Schizosaccharomyces pombe: one gene and its partner. The protein of the gene in region 1 interacts with the protein of each later gene in a biochemical or structural test. Each region holds a gene or a part of one and is shown in the gene's direction. Other genes may lie near its edges.

What was found. Proteins that work in one complex are often made in the same cells at the same time.
Region 2: of the proteins of fkh2 (region 1) and srb10, one has a biochemical effect on the other in vitro, tested with the Schizosaccharomyces pombe proteins (one study listed by BioGRID).

What each region holds. Positions count from the first base shown.
Region 1 is NC_003423.3:4,241,014-4,244,613, reverse strand, and holds the start of fkh2 (DNA-binding forkhead transcription factor Fkh2), read left to right. Parts: upstream 1-1,895; 5' UTR 1,896-1,951; coding exon 1,952-2,463; exon of another isoform or gene 2,464-2,755; coding exon 2,756-3,600. Other genes in the region: regulatory protein ntu1, read right to left, coding at 1-116, 224-254, 525-614. UniProt on the Schizosaccharomyces pombe protein: Required for promoter sequence element PCB-driven, M-phase-specific transcription. Acts as a transcriptional activator with a role in the regulation of mitosis. Binds, cooperatively with mcm1, the CLB cluster regulatory elements throughout the cell cycle.
Region 2 is NC_003424.3:1,570,927-1,581,832, forward strand, and holds srb10 (mediator complex cyclin-dependent protein kinase subunit Srb10), read left to right. Parts: upstream 1-5,780; 5' UTR 5,781-5,927; coding exon 5,928-6,910; exon of another isoform or gene 6,911-6,975; coding exon 6,976-7,102; downstream 7,103-10,906. Other genes in the region: extracellular leucine-rich repeat domain, receptor L domain-like Ecm33, read right to left, coding at 1-334; SCF complex, Cul4-RING and CLRC ubiquitin ligase ligase E3 subunit Rbx1, read left to right, coding at 4,484-4,558, 4,747-4,896, 4,960-5,050, 5,095-5,102; protein Not11, read left to right, coding at 7,388-7,519, 7,566-7,730, 7,867-8,058, 8,117-8,614; ribosome biogenesis protein Tsr1, read right to left, coding at 8,830-10,906. UniProt on the Schizosaccharomyces pombe protein: Catalytic component of the Cdk8 module/Srb8-11 module which is a regulatory module of the Mediator complex that regulates basal RNA polymerase II transcription.

The sequences.
Region 1 (3,600 bases):
ATTTGGATCGCTTTCTTCAGCCAGTCCCCTCAGATATTTCAATCGAAGCTCCAAAAATTCTATATACTTCTCAGGAGCATGCCGTAATCGCTTAAAAGGTTGACCATAAGTACATTCTTCAACAAAGTTAGAAAACTCCATCCAATTATAATAGAGGCTTGAAATAAATTTTAAAGCGACTAAACTTGAAGAAAATAATCTCATCTAAATTGTAGGCACTTACCATAGTTATATGCTATGCAATTCGAGCAAGGCTGAAAAAGTTAGTAAAGAACAGAAATTTATATTTATTTCTAATCGCTCATCCAAATTAATGCAAATAAGATAGAAAAAGAGCAATAAAAGCCAAAAAAATAATAAATTAACGACAAAGGTTATCCGCATGCTCTCTAGCTGAACTGAAATCAATCAAGCTACAATCAACTTCAGAGAAAGCGGTAACTGGGTGAAGTGAGTTCTCAGTTCCCAACTCAAATAATAAAATTATGCAAAACATAAATAGAGCAAAGAAATTGACATCTTACCCTTCTCTGATCACATTTGATCTTTCTCCTGTGACATTCATCACATGCTCTAGAAACACGCTGTCTACGAGATACATCGCCGGAAGACATTCAGCAGCCTATCAATAAACTATGTTGAAGCCTGCTAACTTCAAACTTGAGGGAGAACAGGTCTTTTAATTTGTATTTATCGAATCGTTGTTACCGGTTTTTACAACCGAAAGTTAACGCAAGTGAGCAAAAATGCAGTTTATCATTCAAAATTTAACGCTTTGAAACTAAAGGAATTTGGTGCTTTAGATAGGTAAATAAATAAATAAATGGTGATCGCTGCGAAGCGATTATGGATGATATACGCGACAGGTTAAACCTACGAGAGTGTGTGCCAGCGATCGTATACATCCGCTAAATAGTAATTACTCGTTACTTCACGTTAGCATACATGTGTAGGTGAAGCAATGAGATTATACCATGCTAAATGTTTTTGTTGCGGTATGTTAAATATCGTTATAAGCCTGACATCTTCACGTGTGAGTTCTCCAATGAGTCCTGAAGCTGGAACCATCAAGCCGTTTATTGACTATTTTCAATATTACTGAAGAAAAAAGTATGGGAAATAAAGATCATTCAAGATCAAGTTTGTCTGTTCATGTAAGCCACATATTATTTATTATAATATCAAAGTCTCTCCGTGCCTGAGTTATGTTCGGTAACTGTATATTGCATAATACTTTCTGTTGTGTACCACACATTATAGTGCGCTACGAACTCACCAAATAATATTACGTATCCTACAGAGACTTCGCGAATCGCGTAGTTAGTAAAAATATGGAAAATAACGTGAGTAAACAGTTGAGCGTTAATATTGCAGCCACACAAAATCGGTTGATTGAAAGCGAAATAATGATTCGGAATTTCCATAAAACACAATTAATACTCTTAGTGTATTCATGTAATAGCTTGTACAGTTCTCAAAATAAATCTTCAGTAGACACGTTTTAAATAATAGGGTAATTACTAGGATATGCACGCGACCGTTAGACGCCATTACATGTGCAAAAAACACTGAGTGCTGAAAAGCTAAAATTATTACAAGTCTTGCAGAGTTATGATTGTTTGAGTTTTTTTTTTTTATAAGTTAATCCTACGCCAATATATTAAGAGGATTTTTTTAACTGCTTAGTATTTAAAAAAGTATATCGAAGATCCGGTATCTTGATTGTTTACAAAAATATAAATAGCAACGATAACAAAGACGCATTGTTGACAAAAATAAAAAATGTACAAATATTTAGAAAAATGTATATTTTAATTTCTATGTATCTAAAATGATGGTCAATATTAGTTATACCGTGAAGCGCTGGCAACGGAAGGTAAACGAATGTTGACAACAACAAACGAGTGTAAATAAACACACACCAACAGCACAATTGCTGTAGAAAGGAAAAATGACTGTTCGCAGACTCGAAAGCAAGTCTGAGCATATATCAGATGACGAGGAGAGAAAAGAACAGTTAGATTACAAAAAGCAAATGGATGTAGACACAGATCGTAACATTGTATTGAATGGTCGCCTGGAATCCCAAATTGCGAAGTTGTCCGTTCCACCTCACGAAATGAGAGTGGTCGATGATTATTCGAACAGTAAAAATGCGGAAAGACACTCTGGAGAAATACAAGCTTATGCGAAATTCGCTGGAAGTACATGGACTTATTATGTTAAGAAAATTCGAATTATACTTGGTCGCGAACCAGCAAATCCTTCACCAAAGGGGAAAAATGAAGATTTAGAAGTAATTGATATGAATTTTGGTCCTTCTAAAGTTGTGAGTCGAAAACACGCTGTTGTGGAATATGATTTGGATGACCAAACATGGAATTGCTCAGTTTACGGTCGAAATGGCATTAAAGTAGATGGCAAGTTATTCAAGAATGGGGAAACAGTCAAGCTTACAAGTGGGTATGTTAAAAATCATTTACTAGAATAGTGTTGGTTCGTCGTGATTTGCGACAGGACGGAATATTGATGGTTTCAGCAGCGCATAATTTATGCTTTACTCTTTCATAAGTTCTATGGTTTTCTCGTGTTATTTGTCAATTTTAAACGAATGTTTGGTTATTTTATAAATGCGCGTTAAGGATTTGTCAAATTATCAAGAAAATAATTATTTCCGTCCTAGTTCAAATAAATGCAGGAAATTATGCCAATTATTTTTTTTTATTTCTTTTTCGTCTTACTAATTATCTACTAGATCTATACTCGAAGTAGCGGGTTTACAAATGATGTTCGTACTACCCAATGCAGCTGAGCAAAAGCAAACTGACGAAAGCACTATAAAGGAGGATGCTATAAAGTCTGAAATTTCCGCAGCCGTAAACGATGCTGCTGAATATGGTGATAATAAAAAACCACCATACAGTTATTCTGTTATGATTGCACAAGCAATTTTATCTTCTTCTGAATGCATGATGACTCTTTCTAACATATATTCATGGATTTCAACACATTACCCATATTATCGCACAACAAAAAGTGGATGGCAGAATTCTATCCGTCACAATTTATCTCTCAACAAAGCATTTCGAAAGGTTCCACGGAAGTCAGGTGAGCAGGGGAAGGGAATGAAGTGGTCGATTGTGCCTGAATTTCGCGAAGAGTTTATTGCAAAGACTAGAAAAACACCGCGTAAACGCTCGCCCTCCTCTCCTGTGCCATTATTAGCAAAAAAGAGAGAGGGTTCTCCATCATTACCAATTCCCATCCTTCCGAAAATGAAGGACACCTCTATTCCGGCGGCGGAGCCAGCCTCATCCACTACATCTGCTCGTGATCAAACTCCTTCAACTCCTAAAGATGTGGGCTCACCCTCGACTGCTGAAACCTCAGCAGAAGAAAAGCAAATGGAAACCTACAAAACGCCTACACATGCTGCATTATCTGATATTATTAGCACCCATGATTATGCTTTAGATGCTAATAGTGCTTCTCAAACAAAAAAGGCTGCATTTGGATCTCCTATTGGATCTTCTACATATCCAACGTCTTCTCCTGCACCTTTTTGGAAATATGTTGCAGTTCCCAATCCACACGATTGGC
Region 2 (10,906 bases), on another chromosome or scaffold:
CAGGGGTAGCAAGGTTGTTCATGCGGATCATGTTGTTAACGTTAAAAGCACCAGAAACGTTTTTCAAAGAAGGGAAGGAAAGAGAGGTCAAATATTGACCATCAGAAACCACAACATCACCTTGAACGGACTCAATTCCATTAACAGTAAGGGTGGTGATGCCAGAGTTACCAGCATCAGAAATGTACAAATCACCATTCAATACAGTACAGCTGTTAAGCTCGTCAAGAGTACCTTGGGCGGAGATATTGTAAGGGCCGCTGGAGCAGTTGGAAGCAGCTTGTACGCGAGCTGCGGCGAAAAGAAGAGTGAGAGCGAATGATTTGAACAACATATTGACTTTAGACTATATAATGTAGAAATATGATTGGAAAAATATAACGAAAGATAGTTTTTAGGATGCAAAAAGGGAATATGAAGGTAAATTTGTTAAATCAAAAGAGAAAGAGGACAAATATGTAAAATGCGTTTATAAGGGGAAACGTAGTAATAATCAAAAAGACAGAGATTGACCACAAAAGATATGCAGAATAGCGGGTATTTATAAAAGGTATATGCTATATATTACGGGTAATATATATGATATGTTTTATAAATGAATGCGTGGGTAATGAATAAAGAAGTAAAAGAGTGTTTAAAACTCAAATGTAGTTCGCTGAGGATGAAGCGAGTTGCGGAAAAGACATCTATATATACCCGGAAAATGCAAAGAATTGTGACTTGTTAGATAAAAAGGGGGACAACGAGGTGCGCAATTTCGTTGCAATGTTTACTGTAAACAATGAGTAATTGTGTATTGCTGGTTGCTAGGCCACAACACCAACGAGGAGCTTGCGACCAAACTTTGAAGACCGTTTATTGGCTAAACTTGTACGTTTACGAGTAATTTGACTCTCGTTAAACACATTGGCATGACAACAAGGCGTTCGACTCTTTACAGATTGAGAATTGTAAACACTCAATGTAAACAATGCTGTATTTTCTGTCAAAACTTCATTTGTATTCCAGCTTTGGTTTTAAGGTTATTCATCGCATAAACATTTAAAGGGAGAGACACAAACCGCAGTGTTTGACCCTTAAAAAGTCACATTCACGGGCTTTTAAACGTGACATCACTTGTTTGTTTTAGTGAAAAATAACAGTCACCAGATCTCTGAAGAGGTAGGATTTTTTTATACTAGAAAAAAGCAGAAAATCATAAATATTATTTGGTATAGAAAATGCTTCTTCCAGCTATGCTAATCTTGTTTATTTTTCGCTCATATGCAACGGTATTTACGTTTCCGTAAATGGTTTCAGACATTTGTTTACTGACAATTACCGTTACCGCAGCAACGATCTGTCCATCTGCAGTGTAAACAGATTTATTTAGTCATGTAAACAAAGTATTTACCGTGCTGTAGAGAAGTAGAGGCGCAGTGGATATGCTTAGCAAGTTGAAGGAGAAAAGATTGCAAAGGTCATACCGGTATTCAACTGATTGACTAGACTGAACTGTACTGTACTTCAGAAGCATTTACCTGTTACTTTTTAACTTCTTGTAGTTTCGATGATTATTTTGGCCTTTGTGTATTTCATCTTTGTGTGACATCCAGTTATTACTTTAAAACTTAAGTAATTTATATTTCCCATTTTTGATGCACTGAGTGAGAAAAAAACTACTTGATTATTCAAATTTGTTCAATATTTTAAGAAATAGCAAACAACAGTCTACAAAATTATTTTGGCAATACAGTTTAATCAGAAATAATGTTGAAAGGCATAAATGATTTTTAAGTTGATTTTATGTTTATTTTTTTTGTGAATAAGCTATATTATCTTCCACTGTCTAGGATGATTTGCTTCAGAAAATTATTTAATCATTGTTGAAGGTTGAACAATTCTAGACTACTGTGCATGATTTAGGAATAGAATATGAATGTGGATATTTTAAATATTGATCTAGAATAAATGCCCTAATTGGAGAATATGTATTGTATTTAGAAGCTAGTACTCCAAGGTAATAAAATGTATGCTGAAACATAAAATGTTTTTTTGCTATACATGTGCACTGTAAGCTAGACTGTTGAATGTATATGAATATTAAGTCAGTAGAATGCTTGCATCATTTATTACACAAAGTTGAAATGATTAACTCCAGAGATTTCGGGTACTTGTTAAAAAGCATCTTAAGGTGATTAGTTCCGTCATGGTTTTTATAAATTCCTTTACCTTCTATCTCGAAGTAATCTTATAGGAGCGATTACACATCAACTCATATTAAAAATTTAACTTTGATTACTGTAACTTGCCTATTTTTTACATTCGTAGTGTAATCATAATTACCGTCCAAATATTCAAGTAAAAAGCGGCGTTGTAGTCTGATGGAGATGCCCGTTATACAAATTGAGTAAAGCACTCATTTAAGACTGTTTTGCTATTTGGAACCTTTTTATTTTTTTTTTATTTTTTTTATTTGTTCTCTTGTGTGACGTGAGTTAGTAGTTAATCGCTGCGATTATAAAAGAAATTGATTTTTAATACACAAAGTATATCTTTAATTTATCTGAGCCGCGCTTTTTTTTATTTATTTAAAATTTCGTATCCTTGCATACAGGCTATATTTATTTACTTATTCAATTTTATTTTGTTTGCTCTTTTGGCATTTGACGGGGATATATATTTTAGAGAATTGAGTATTTTTACAAAAAAAAAAAAGACAAAATTAATGACAGAGCGATGTAAATAAGTAAAAGTACATTAGCATTTTTTCCTCAAATTCAAGATCCGTAGGCTATGATCTCTTCATGTTGCAAAATGTTTGTAGACAGGCTCCAAACTTTTAAAAAACTACTTATTCCAAAACATGCTTGCCTCAACGAAGTATCGCTACCGTTCTCTTTCGTTTTACTAACAAGTTCAATTTGTTTCTTGTTTTTGTATTAGTCGATTTTTAATATGCACAGGCTTGCATAAAGATAGTTAATTATAAATTTCATTTGTTTGATTTTAAGCTTAGCATTTCATTCAGCTCGACTTCAAGCTGACAATCCCCAATGCAAATATCCTTGCGTCTCGTTAGGCAGGTTACATTTCCAATAGTTTGAACGTAGCTTCCGCGTTATTATACTTTGCCAGTTTTAGTGCATTGTATAGCTACACAGTATTTTGGTTTTAAACTTAGCGAGATATCTCAAAACCCCTTGGCATGCTCTTAGCACGGTACTTAGCTGTAGATCCTTTTAAAATTTGCTAACAGATGTAAACTTGAAAACCAGATTTTTCGGCTTAATATATTCCATCTATCATTTAAATCTCTTTGATGATAACTTTCAAAAATTGAAGGAAATCCGATGTTGACGATGAAATCACTGTAGATACGAATGTTTACTCAACGAAATTACCATACAATTTGATGCCGATCATTTTAAAGACATTTTTAGCAAAATATAAGCAGTCAAACTAGTAGAAATTTTTACAAAAAAAAGCCATATACGAGGTTTGTTTAGTACAAATGACTATACGATCGCAATAATATAGTAATCAAATGAGCCACAGGAGGCAGCAGCTGTGTATAATCGGAAATTAAAATCCTAGTAAAGATACACCCGATCTATAGAAATGATATTCTTGTGTTCATTATTTTTCAAGTTTTGTAAACTATTATTAATTTTGCATACTAGCAAAGACCATTTACAACAAATAGTGCAACCTACTTTTGAAAACTTTTGTAATCAGAAGACGAATATGCTGGACTAAAATAAACATTAACTGCATCTTGTTCTACGATTGTTATATTGAGATGGTTTATTTATTAATTGTATGGATAAAGCTTTTTTCAATCAGTCTTGAATTTCAGAGTCAATACAAGTTAAAAATAAATCAATTTTGGAATTAACTTCCCTTGTATATTTCACTTCCAAGGTATTTATATTTGGATGAAATACAATAATAAAAAATAGCTCTATTACTTCAGAAAAATTCGCTGAATGTGTTCAATTTGATATGCTAGAGAAGGTACAATATTATAGATAAATAGGGCTATTTACTAATTTTGGTTGAAACGTTTGTAGGAAACCGTCTTCAGTACTTCGATATTATATACAAAACTTATTCAATAGATGTCTAACGAGCACACATAATACAAATAATATCTAAGAAACTTGTATTGTCATCATGTAACATAGAATTAAAAGTTTACACATTTAAACAAACTGAGTAATTTAATGTAGCTAAATAGATATAGTGCTAAACACTCATGAAACAGCAGATGAATAATCATCCTTCATTTTTTGAGTACGCATTTTGCGATTGAAAGATCCATGATCCATTATTTATTATATTAAATACTTGTGTTTTAGCAAAATTTATTACATTACTCCAAAAATTATCTTATGTTTGAGTATTGCTTAGCGAAGCTGCAATTTTCAACCCCCTTTATCACACCGCTTAAACATCTCATCTTAAAACGAAGTAGCGGCTTTGCTCTATTTTACTCATCACAATGGAAGATGAAATGCAAATAGACAAGAAGGAGGTGGAAATTGAACAAAAACCTCCTCGATTTGAAATTAAAAAGGTTCGTCATTATTTTTATGATCATGTTCTTCATGTGTATCAAATTTGCCATAAAGCAAAGTAAACTGTGAAAATTAATACCCAAAGATATATTTGCTATTTTAAAATAAGCATACACTTAAGTACTAGTTTACTCTCTTTGCTTTTTTTATGAGTTCTTCTGATTCATATTGCTTACCTTCAATTTAGTGGAATGCTGTAGCATTATGGCAATGGGACATTGTTGTAGATAACTGTGCTATCTGCAGAAATCATATTATGGACTTATGTATTGAGTGTCAAGCTAACACCGATTCTGCTGCTGCTCAAGAGTGCACAGTGGCATGGGGAACTTGTAATGTAAGTTTTAATTCGATTTCTTTCGTATTCTTAGCTCAGGACTGTTTTTAACAAATACAAAAGCATGCATTTCACTTTCACTGCATCTCAAGATGGTTAAACACTAGGAATGTTTGTCCTTTGGACAATCGTGAATGGGAGTTCCAACGTTATGGTAGGGTATATTAAGACGAGCCTACTTTACTAACTTTATCTCAGGTCATTAATAACATTTATTAAGTACTTACTTTTTTGTTGGTAAAAATATTTCAATGGAGCAGAGCGTTTTATTAATGAAATGACATGAATCAATTAAAATTTCCTAAAATCATGACTACTTGTGGCTAGTTTAAGTTTCCATGTGACTTTGAATTGTTATTTATATTTATTTACTCCAATTACTCAGATAGTGGACGAATATATCAATTTATTTTATTGCTTGTCAAATAAAATTTCCTACAGACAGTTTTTAACTACACATCATATAAATTAAGACATTATATCACTACTTTGTATACACTTGAAGAATTAGAACATTACTTAAATCATCAAAAGAAATGGCATACTTCTAAAGTGCTATTGTTAAAATTGAATAGGCATACAGACATTATGCTGCATATCGCATGACAGAATGCGAATCATTGCTTTCGAGAAGAATGTCAGTGGTGAGATACAAAAGCTCAGTAGTGCACGGATTTTCTATACTTGCCAATCAATTCACAAATTCAGTTAACTTTTAAATAAGAACAAACAGCTTTATGAAAATTACCATCTGATGTTTAAAACCTTCAGTTTATCAGACTTGGTGTTTTCGTTAATAGTGGGTAGGCATAAAAAGATTCGTGGTACTTTGACTCTTTATTCGCCTAATACTAATGTTTCTGTCGCCTTCGTCACTTCCCACTATAGAGAGACCTACATTCATCTGACTTTTTAAGTGATACTAAAAAGTCGGATACTTTTTATATAAAGACTGTAAAAAGCATCCCTATGTGATTGAATGTGTATATATCCATCTCTTTAAAGGTTTGATAGGGTAGGGTCATTTCAGCATGAAAGACGGTTATAAAATTATTGGGTTTATCTCATCTGGAACTTATGGAAAGGTTTATAAAGCGGTTTCATCTAATTCGAATGATAAACGACTGTTTGCAATTAAAAAGTTCAAAGCTGAGTCAAAGCAAGTAAGCTCGAATGCTCAACAAACCGGCGTTTCTCAAAGTGCTATTCGTGAAATGATGCTGTGTAGAGAAATTCAGCATGAAAATATAGTTAGCTTGGTTCAAGTTTTACTCAAAGATGGCACAATTAGCATGGTTTTTGAATACGCCGAACACGATCTGTTGCAAATTATTCATTTCCATAGCCGATCTAGAACAAGACAAATTCCACCATCAATTTTAAAAAGTATTCTATGGCAGATCATTAATGGTGTAGCATACCTACATGAAAACTGGATTATGCATCGAGATTTGAAACCAGCAAACATAATGATTACAGCTACAGGCAAGGTAAAAATTGGGGACCTAGGGCTGGGAAGGCTCATTCGGGATCCCATATTACCATTTTATTCCAGCGATCGTGTAGTAGTTACTATTTGGTATCGTGCGCCAGAGCTACTTTTGGGAGCTCACGATTATACCCCAGCAATAGATGTTTGGGCAATTGGTTGTATTTATGGAGAAATGCTTGCTCTTTCTCCTCTTTTCAAAGGAGATGAAATAAAAATGGAAGATAAAAAAGTCGTTCCTTTTCAGAGTACTCAAATGCTACGCATAATGGAGTTACTAGGCACACCAACAGAAGAACGCTGGCCAGGTCTCAAAAATTATCCAGAGTACTATCAATTATCATCATTTGAAGTTCGTTACTGGAATAATTTGCTTCCTCAGTGGTATCAAACCGTAAAAAATCGGGATCCGCAAGGGTTAGATCTACTGATGAAAATGCTACAATACGATCCAAAATCACGCATAACTGCTAAGCAAGCTTTGGAACACGTTTTTTTTACTTCCGATAAATTATGGACCACTAGGTACGTGTTCTTCCTTTTCCTATTTATCATCGAAAGAAATAAGCTTTTACTAACTCACTTTTTAGCCCATTTTTAAATCAACCTATTCATTATCCAGAAAGGAGAATTTCAGAAGATGATTCCGAGGTTTCCTCCAAACGCGTACTATCTACTTCACTAAGGTCCGAAAGTAAACGTTTTAAAGGAAATTGATTGTTAATGCTTCCCTTAAGCTATTTAAAAGATTATCTGTAATTTTCAATTAAATATTTCGCCTTTTCTTGGACGTATATTTGATATTCTGTCTACGCAGGGCACCGTCGTTTTATTTAAGAATACCTAAAAAACTCACGATTATTTATTCATATTTTTGACCATTGAGATACTAAAATTTTTTTTCAACTATTCTAATATATGGTTCAAACCATACATTTTTGCTAGTACATCCACGTTGTGACTCATTATTCTTATTGTTTTAGAGGGAAGATTCCAACAGCCATGTTGGGTAAGGAATGGGAAAACACTAGCTTTGCAGAAATTGGTCTACTACATCAAGCGCCTAACGATAATGACTTAGAAAAATTTCAACATGCTCTAACGTTAATGAGTGAGGCTGATAACTCTAGCGATGTACTAACTTATGATTTTTTACTGGATTTTCTCTAACTTGCCATAGCTTTTAATACCACTTATTAGTGACTTTTTAATATGGTTTTATTATCAGAAAACACCTTTAAAATGGATTCCTTTTCTAGGTCACTTTTTTAATACCTGGCAATCTTGTAGTTTTCCTCCCCGCAGATATTTGCTAGCTAAAATACTTTCAGGGAGAATTTCAGAGGTATGTGTAAAGAGAAAAAGAAAGCAGTTTATTTTTTTTTGTTTCGATACGTCAATTTTCGAACGAAACTTTTGTGATTGAATTTTTTTTTTGCCATAACAAATGCAAGTTGTTTGTTGGTACTAACTATGCATAGTTGCTGAAAGTTTCTCCTTTTGAGCTTGCCGCTTCTGTAACTAGCCAGGATGTAGTCGAAGCTGATTCCCTAGTTGAAGAGAATGAGTTACAGGCTTGGCTAGAAAAACAAGAACTTGTACCGTCTTCCTCTAATTTTCTAAATTCTTTTTGGATTTCAGGGGGAGAGAGAGAGCTAACGGAAGAGGAACAGGTAAGATTATCCTTTTTTTTTCAATTTTCGAGGAATTGCTACTGACATTTCGCTTTAGAATTCTTTACTTCAAAGCAACACGACGTACACAAATTCTGATTTGCCTGCCTCCAAGCAGCTTGAATCTTTTATTTCGATGAACCTTTCTTATAGTAAAGTTTTTTTCCTTCATCTTCTACAGCACTCTGATTCCTCGTTTAACGATAAATTTCTCTTGCTTCTTGCTAATATTCCCGTTACAGTTTCAAATGTAGAAGTCTTACTTTATTTATTGCAACAAGAAGAAAGCCTTGCTCAATTTGATCTTAACGGCAAATCTTTTCTTTATCACATGCTTGTATCCTTGCATAACCAAGTTACCAATACATCACATTTAGAAAAGCAACGAATATCCACTGTTGCGACTTTATTTATATCCAAACTATTCGAAATACCTTCTTTATCTGAGTATTTATCGAGCACATTGTTTTTAGATCTTCAGGCCTTTTGCATCGTTGCTTTACCGCAATCAGCTAAGCTATTCCAAAAAGTAAAAGCATTAAAAAATAACCCTTGAGTTATTGAAAAGTTAGTATAACTCTATTATTTATTCGTATCTATTTAGAAAGCTTGAGTTACGATACTTCTAACATTAAATTTAACACACAAGTACTACATTTCCATAATATCCCAATATCCCAATTCTCTGCTAGAGTAAAATAATTAGAGTATTCCATTTTTTATGCCTAAACCCATTACCAAAAACTAAACTACTAATATTCACAAATTTTTTTATGAATCAATATCCGTAACCTTGAATAACTCGCAAGGTAAAGGATACATACGCTTATAAAGCGACATAGCTACAGTATCTTGTACTGTAATTTTACCATTAAAAGTTGCCTTGAAATAACCGTGGGTACCAAGTGGTTCCTTAATATAACCCGTTCGCCCTTGTTTAGTAAAAAGCTGAATAGGTTTGAACCAAATAACGTCTTCTGGATTAAAAAACATATATCTAATAGTGACCAATTTTTTGTGTACTTTGAAAGGATGACCTGTTAGAACAGCTCTTTTAGCAATGACAGAATTGGTATCACAATTTACATATGAGCCGGTAGCGGCAAGACGCAAAGAGTTATCCGATGACTTTTTGAACATTATTATAGGTACATTACCAAAGACGATAGGAGAAATAACAGATGCGATAACAGCTTGCTTAGGTGGAAGATATCTATGATATTTTTGTAAGTTGTTGGAAGCACCAGAAGCCGTGGGATCTGAATAAAGAGGTCGAACCATAAAACGGCGAGGTCCAATTTGAAGAAGAAGTTCTTCTTTGGATTCAATGGGCTCTTCATATTCAGAATGCTGCATTGCAGTAAATTGAGAAACAGTCAGTTTATTCTCATATTGTAGCAAAGAATAAAGCACTAAAAGATTCCAAGGCTTATTATAATACTCGAATATTTCAATCGGAACGTTCCTAAGTTCCACATAAACAGCCTTTCCAGGCTTAGCTTCACCAATAAAAGGCTGCTTTAAAAATTTATTCTTCAAATTCCGATAGTTTTCAAATTTAAACAACTGTCTCCATTCCCTTGGTTCATTAGGATCATACTCATCTGCATCCCATTGACTAGTATAAAGACTCCGTAGACCCCTATATTTTTTAAAGCGCTCCCTTGCTAATTCATTAGGTTGAAGCTCTACCTCATCGGGAAATTCAAGTTCTTCCTGTAATTCTTTTTGCTTCTTGCGGTATTCCTCGTATTGTCTAACTTCTTCTTCTTCCGATAAATCAACAAACATTTCCGATTTAGCATCATCGATTGTTTCTTCTTCGTCACTATCAATTTTCTCTTCAGCAACATGGTTAGAAATTTCTTGATTATCCTGATCTTCTATAATAACTTCAGTATCCTCAACATCACTATATTGATCGGATTCCTCATCTTCATCTGGAATCCAAGTAGCTTGGTACGTTGAGGTACCTTTTGGTACACGTTTCGCAACCGCAACTGGCTCTTCCTCATCGTCAAAATAGTAAAAATCATCCAGACGAACACCACGCGATGCTTCTTTTCCAACTTCAGAATCCATATCAGTATCCATATCATCTATTATAGGCCCCAAGGACTCTAATGAATCCTGTTCTTGAGTAGGACTACACAATTCCACTAACCCACCAGTCAAATTGGTATCTTCATCCATTGAAATCCCACGAGAATTTTGTATACCTTGAGGAGCTTCATAAATGCGATTGATAGCAAAGTCCCCGAAACCTTGGATATGTATTAAACGATTCGGGTCTAAACCCTTGCCACGCACAATTCCGCGAACTAAAAGATTTCCGTTACTATAAGAGATTTCTTGAGACAACAAGTAAGATCTTGAATCACGCCAATGTATTCCACGTGGATGTGATGTACACAATGCACGCATAACGTTCAAAGCATCCTGAGAAACATCCGCGGCAAACACACGTTCTTGGTCTGAGAAAAAAAAGTTCATAAAGCTCTGTAGCGACTTTTTAACTTCGTTCCGAGTCTTTAAACTATCCACCTCAGAAAGATCATGTACCATAGACAAAACACTGGAAATTCCTTGCCCTTGAGTTGTGCGAACAATGAGTTCGCCAAATTCATCAACTTCTTGGACAGCAGAAAGAACGAAAATAACATAATCCGAAACTTTACAAGCATCGATAAGAGAATAAAACTCCCGTTTAGGAAGCAGAAACAATAAATTCTGTTTAAACCGATCAATTGTTGTAGAATAACTAATCGAATCCTTGTCAAACTTGGGCAAACTAGCTTCAGGATCAATGCTACGCAGTAAATTGGTCAGAACGTTCCAAGAGTCAACA